Linked DNA regions of Macaca fascicularis. The protein of the gene in region 1 interacts with the protein of each later gene in a pairwise test. Links are inferred from orthologs where the notes say so. Each region holds a gene or a part of one and is shown in the gene's direction. Other genes may lie near its edges.

Region 1 (3,500 bases):
AAGTTTCCCTAGGACTTCTTGGGGCAACTTTTTTGTCCTTTAGGCAACTGATACCTTTAGAATTTGAGTGGTGAACTTGACACTGCATATTTTTTGGACAAAAAAAAAAAAAAGATTTCCTCTAGCTCTCCATTGATTGTTGGTTTCTTGTCACCATCCATGACCAACAGTGATTCCATGTGTAGCAGTTTCTACAGTGGTTGCTAATCTAGGGATTGTGTAAGCTTTTAGGGAAGAAGTGTTTCTAAACAGAAGATTAGAAATAGGGAGTTTATTGGGAAAGAGAGAAATAGATCAAAAATCAAGTTGACTTTAGAGTGCTGTTGCTGCTTATGTTTTTTTCTGGGTCACTCCATTACTTTAAATGACTATTACGTATACAGCACTTTTACTTAGAAGAGTTCTCAAAGAGCCTCTAGTCTAGTAAGAGAGACATGTGAACAAATAAATACAATGCAGGGCCCTCATGGAAGTATGTTCTAGGAATAGATAACATAAATAATAGAGAGATCTGTTTGGTCTGGGAGGAGGAGTGCACAAACTGAACTTGAAGACTTTTGGAAGCACTTGTTAGTCAAATAGTTAAATCAAAAAAGGACATCTTTGTTAGATTCCATGACTTGGTGATTGAAAATTTGCAATATACAAGATCCAGAGAGTGCACTGTGTGCTCTTGTATTACTCGGGGGAGGCCCTGAACTGGATTGAGCCCAGGCAAGAGCTCAAACAGAATGGTGAACAAATCCTGAAGTGCTGCTGTTGATAGTCTGGGGACTTGGAATGTTTGGTTTAATTTTAAGTTTTAATACTACAACTGACTCATTGTCAGTTTGAGATAAACAAAGTATAAGTTTTAAAATCTCTGTCCTGAAGCAGATTGCTCATATGTACAAGAGCAGTAGGTACAGCTATAGTCAGACTGACCTGTAGAAGAAGAGACCACCAAACCTTTTCACCTTTTGAAAACTGCTAAGGATAGAGTTACTCAAAACTGGGACCTAGAGAGTTAATAGAATTTCAAAGATTGTGATTACTTGGATTATATATAGCACACCAGAGTGGGAGAGTGCTTTTTCTCCCCTTGTGTTTTTCAGTGTGTTTTGCCAGGATCAGTGAGTGTGTGCCAGATAGAAGAGGGACTAACTATGTTCCCTTCTTTCTGTTCTGTGTGCCTGTTTTTTGTTTGTTTTATGTTTTGTTTTCTTAAAGTTACAGTCCCTGTTTCAGGCATGATCACTATCCCAGCAGCCAGTTTGGCAGGAGCACAGATTGTTCAGACAGGAGCCAATACCAACACAACCAGCAGTGGGCAAGGGACTGTCACTGTGACACTACCAGTGGCAGGCAATGTGGTCAATTCAGGAGGGATGGTCATGGTAAGAAAATGTATTTTTCAGCTTTGTCTTCGAAATTTTCTTGAACATGCAACTTGATGCCTCCTAAAATTTATTATGTTGACCTCTTGGGATTGAGATCGATCCTTAAGGCAGTCAGTAATCTACTTTTACAATAACATTATGACAAACCATAATTCATTCTGGGCACCTACTGTGTGCCAGGGACTATTCACCAGGGACTATTCTAGATGCTGGAGATCAAGCAATGGATAAATAATGATTTTATGCAATTCTTTTCAGAATTCAAATAATGAAGGGAATAATATATTAATCTTTGAGAAGTGGAAAGTAGTATTGCCCATGATGGACGAAATAAGAAATAAGCTAAAAATTAGAAAGATTGTAATTGATAGAGAAACCAAAAAAAAAAAAGTATGATATAAATGTATTGGGAAGATAGGAAGACTTGGGTGGTGTGAGTGAAAGCTAAATCCTCATATGTCAAAATAGGATGTTAAAATGCATAGATTAAGAATGAGTAACAGAAGTCTGCACAGAGGTGGAGGAAGCTATGAAAAGAAACAGAAGCAAGCCTGGCTCAGTGGCATGCACCTGTAGTCCTAGCTACTCGGGAGGCTAATCCAGGAGGATGGCTTAAGTCCAGGAGTTTGAGCTCAGCCTCGGCAACATACGAGACCTTGTTTCTACGAACTAAATGATAAATAAATAATTTTTATAAAAGATTAATATAGTTATTCAAAGCAGTTGTATCTGGGAAAGAGCTGTGGGGTACAGGACTCTGTTACTTGTTTTCACATTTAGTACAGTGTTTTGGTGTTTTTTAAGAAAAATTAGGATTGAACTATAAGTTAACTATTAAATTATTTTTATAAATATAGGCATTTAGTAGCACTTGGTCTCATCTATTTTTGTGCTGTTTTTTTGTCTTATGACTACTGTTCCTGACCATTAGATGGCAGCAGAAATATCTACAGCCATGGGTAGACATGAATTAGGGCGTGCTTATATAGTTTCTCAGAGTGGCACCTGAACCTCCTATGACACAGTTATCTGGGGTGTTTGTTTAATGTACAGATCTTAAATTTCTCCAGGGATCTGCATTTACCCAAGTACCCTATACAAATTACTTTTTGTGGCATTTAGAAAAAAATGGATGAAGAGAAACCAAGAAACTCTATGTCCATACTTCATGCCACCAATAAGCTCTGGTTTCCTGTTCACACAGATGGTTCCTGGGGCTGGCTCTGTGCCTGCTATCCAAAGAATCCCTCTACCTGGAGCAGAGATGCTTGAAGAAGAGCCTCTCTACGTGAATGCCAAACAATACCACCGTATTCTTAAGAGGAGGCAAGCCCGGGCTAAACTAGAGGCAGAAGGGAAAATTCCAAAGGAAAGAAGGGTATGTATAACATTGGGAAGGATATAGGAGAGGAGAATAGCAGGGTTCTACTTTTGAAATTATCTTTTATATGGCTTGTTTTCTCATGTACCTTCCAAAAAATTGACGTTAGATACTTATCTCTTTTGTAAGAGTTAGCATTTGTTATTACTGTATGCAGCTGCAGTTATAACAACGAAAACAAACAGTGGCTTAAATAAGATGTTACTCTTTTTCATGCATAAAAGTAGTCCAGAGATAAATTATCTTGGACTGGCAGCACATTTTCACAGTTCTCAAGACCTGTTTCACTGCTTTAATATTGCTAGTGTGCTGTTCATAGTCCAAGATTCCTGCTTAGACTCCAGCCTAGGAAGAAAGGGAATAAGAAAGGTATCCTTTCTTTCTTTTTTTTTTTTTTCTGAGACTGAAGCTTGCTCTGTCACCCAGGCCGGAGCACGGTGGCACAATCTCAGCTGACTGCAACCTCCCTTCCAGGTTCAAGTGATTATCCTGCCTCAGCCTCCTGAGTAGCTGGGATTACAGGTGCGCGCCACCACACATAGCTTATTTTTGTATTTTTAGTAGAGGTGGGGTTTCACCATATTGGCCAGACTGGTCTCGAACTCCTGACCTCCAGTGATCCACCTGCCTCGGCCTCCCAAAGTGCTGGGATTATAGGCGTAAGCCACCGTACCCGGCCAGGTACCCTTTCTTTCAAGGAAACTTGCAAGAAGTCGTGTACCTTTCACTAGCCAGAATTT
Region 2 (3,500 bases), on another chromosome or scaffold:
AGATAGAAAAAGAAACAAAATCTCCAGTACTCTGATGTGGCAAAAATGAGGTTTGATACTTTAAAATTTTGTTTTTGTTATTGTTTACACTTGGGTTAGAATTATAGATTTGTTGTATTTCTGTGTCTGTATCAGTTTTTAAAATGGAATAACTTTATAAAGAGATTAATAAAACTGTTGTGTTCGTCTGTCCAGAGTTATTTTTCACTTAGAAATCTTTAATGTTCTTTGCCTTAGTTATGGGAAAACAAACTAATGCAGTCCAGGGCAGTAGATGGATTTCATTCAGAAGAGCAGCAGCTTCTACTGCAAGTTCAACAGCAGCATCAACCCCAGCAGCAGCAGCATCACCACCATCACCACCATCAGCAAGCTCAGCCTCAGCAGACAGTACCTCAGCAAGCGCAGACCCAGCAGGTCCTTATTCCTGCATCACAGCAAGGTGAGACTGGATTTGTTTTCCTACTTATGACTTGGAATTAAGTTTGTCGTCATGAAAGAAGAGAAATATTCTACATTTCTTGGATCTTGTCTTTTAAGGGGCGCATGGAGAACCTAAAAATAAACAAACAAAAACCCCTATGTTGATTTTGGGCTTTTTTTCCACTTTCTCTTGGCTGAGGGGTGTGGGTGTATGTAAATGTATATAAATTTGTATAAAACGTAGGTTGTATCTGTAGAGTAATGGTAGACAAGTAATTTACTAATTGAAAGCCTAAGTTGTATTACTATTTAGTTTTGAAAAGGCTATGTAGTGATGGATTTCCTGAAATAAGTTAAACCTAAAAGGTTTATTTACTAAGGACTTTATTATTTTATATGGTAAAATAGTTATTTGCTTTCTCTATGAAACATGTTCTTTCAGAGACATGTTTCAGATTAGTTTTTAAAATATATCTTAAATTCTAGAGTTTTTTGTATACTTTGGCAATCTGAAAATTCAGTTCCATAGTAATTTATGTAAGCCTAAACGGACTGAATTAGATTTATTATAAGTTAAGCGTGGATATATAACATATCTTAATTTATATTTCTTGGATTAAAGCTAAGAAAAAGCAAATATTCGTAGACTGTGTCCATAGTGCTTTGTACTCTGCAAGTCATTTTATAGATACTGTTTCATTGGCACCTTATAAGGGCTTTGTAAAATAGCCCTTGGCTCAGTTTCACAGCTGAGGAAAATCTGAGCCCAGAAAACGCTAAGAAACTTGATCTGTATTTTCTCTCATGACACACGTCTATTCAGTTATAAAACTTTCTGAGCATTCTAATTCAGTGCATCTGCTTTTATGGGAGAGGACACTAGAAGTAGATGAAAAGTTCATTTTAATGTAATCATTTAGTTACTTATTTGCCTCATTTGACAGTATATATATGTGTCTCAAAATTGGTAATGATACACAGTAGAAGAGTCTATTTGGGTTATTTTACTGTTGACGTCTAGTGGTAGTTTTCATACCTAATTTTAGTGTATACTTTGTATCAAATAATTTTATCCCTTTATTATTTTTTGATGACTGTTCTTCCTGTTGCCTTCAGACCTGGCATTAGGATTTTAGGTCATCATAAATTAAAATTTGATTTTCTTCACTCAGAGAATATTAGGATAATGGAGTTATCCGTCTGTTCTCTGAAATTTGCGGAATCAAACATTTAATTCCTTTTATGCTTAAGTAACATTGCCATTATTTCTGATTTGTATTTTTTCCAACTTGGGCCCGTTCACCACTCTTCAGGCAACCTGGTGGTCCTCTGCTTTCAGGAGGCCACCATATTGATGCCGAACTTAGTTGGACACCCAATCAGCATAGCGCACTATAGCCCAAAACTCCTGGGCTCAAGCGATCCTCCCACCTCAGCCTTCTGAGTTGCTGGGACTACAGGCATGCATCCCTGCATCCGGCTGATTTGTATTTTTTAAACAGCCGATGAAAGTAGCATGAGTCTGTCAACTTTCATGTTGGAAGAAAAGGACTATGTAGGTTTCAAAAACTAGTCACAATTTTTTGAGCTTACTTTTATTGGATTAGTAACTCATTGCAACAGTGGTATCATTGTATCAGTAAAACAAAATTATGAGTTGAGTTAAGACAAAATTATGTTTGAAAATATCCAGTTTACTTAGGAATGCATAGAACTGTGTATGTGTGTATGTTTAGGTGTTAAGTAACTCACTACTTCATGTTCCTAAATGCCCTTGCATCCTTAGGAATTGTCACTTAAAAAATTTTTTTTTTTTTTGAGATGGAGCTTGTCACCCATGCTGGAGTGCAGTGGCATGATCTCGGCTCACTGCAACCTCCAGTTCCCGAGTTCAAGTGATTCTCATGCCTCAGCCTGACACCCAGCTAATTTTTTTGTATTTTTAGTAGAGACGGAGTTTCACCATGATATTGGCCAGTCTGGTCTCGAACTCCTGACCTCAAGTGATCCGCCCGCTTTGGCCTCCCAAAGCTTAAATATTTGTGTTTTCTAGTATAGGGTGGGTATATCACAGCTGTTATTTGCCGTATAAATTTATACTGTCCTGAGAGCAAATGATTGAAAGCATTTGAGTGCAGAAAACATGGAAAACATGAAAAAAGTTTTCATCATTGTATGTAAAATGTTCTTGTGATCAGAAAATAGCCTCATGGTTCCTTGTTTACATGTGTACTTGTTTTTTTGTAGCCACAGCACCACAAGTTATTGTTCCAGATTCTAAGTTGATACAGCATATGAATGCATCAAACATGGTAAGACTCAGAATGTAGCAGTTTGATTGGCTGTACTTAATTCTAACTCAAATTGTGATTATGCCTATATATGTCATATATTAACAACTTGAAGTTTATTGAAGACTCAGGCAGAACAGCTATTTTAGTTTAGTTTCCTGAATATTGGATCTGAAGTTTAGCTTGGTACCTAGACATTAAGGTTCATAAAATTATGGAATTGTTTAAGAATACTAAAAGAATGGTGCTTTGTGAGAGTTACTCCATTCCCTACTATGTCCGAAAAAGTTTATAATGCCAAACTTATAATGCCAAGTATGGTTCTGTTTCAGGAGACCTGGTAATTGCAAGAAGTTGGGAAGGCTAAGAATTGTTAACTTTTAAAAAATGAAGATGAACTGTTTGGATAGTTCAGTATAACTATTTTTAAAATCAAGCATTTAAAAATATTGCTTTGACTTAACCATAGTATAGTCTAATAAGTCATTATAGTGTGTAAATTACCAAAGAATACATTTTAACCAGTTGAGTTACATTAGAAGTTTTATATTTCTGAGGACTATCCACTAAACTTTACAAGTCCTCACTCATTTTCAAATTACATTTCAGACATATAATATTTCTCAACAAATATAGTATAGTTTAACTGTGAACTTGAAAGAACCTCTTCAGATCCTTAGAAAATCTTTACCTATATGCTTGAAGTTGTTTTCTTTTTTTTTTTTTTTTTTTTTTTGGATAAAACATTAAAATACAGTCAGAGTAGTTCAACACTTCCTTATAAAT

The links.
Region 2: the proteins of NFYA (region 1) and GTF2A1 interact in binary tests that used the Homo sapiens proteins (3 or more experiments, as listed by UniProt). The two-hybrid records come from large-scale screens. The link is inferred for Macaca fascicularis from reciprocal best matches to the Homo sapiens genes NFYA and GTF2A1.

The regions. Positions count from the first base shown.
Region 1 is NC_088378.1:130,499,173-130,502,672, reverse strand, and holds part of NFYA (nuclear transcription factor Y subunit alpha), read left to right. Parts: intron 1-1,209; coding exon 1,210-1,376; intron 1,377-2,583; coding exon 2,584-2,757; intron 2,758-3,500. UniProt on the Homo sapiens protein: Component of the sequence-specific heterotrimeric transcription factor (NF-Y) which specifically recognizes a 5'-CCAAT-3' box motif found in the promoters of its target genes.
Region 2 is NC_088381.1:149,170,862-149,174,361, reverse strand, and holds part of GTF2A1 (transcription initiation factor IIA subunit 1), read left to right. Parts: intron 1-237; coding exon 238-442; intron 443-1,511; exon of another isoform or gene 1,512-1,655; intron 1,656-2,670; coding exon 2,671-2,735; intron 2,736-3,500. UniProt on the Homo sapiens protein: TFIIA is a component of the transcription machinery of RNA polymerase II and plays an important role in transcriptional activation. TFIIA in a complex with TBP mediates transcriptional activity.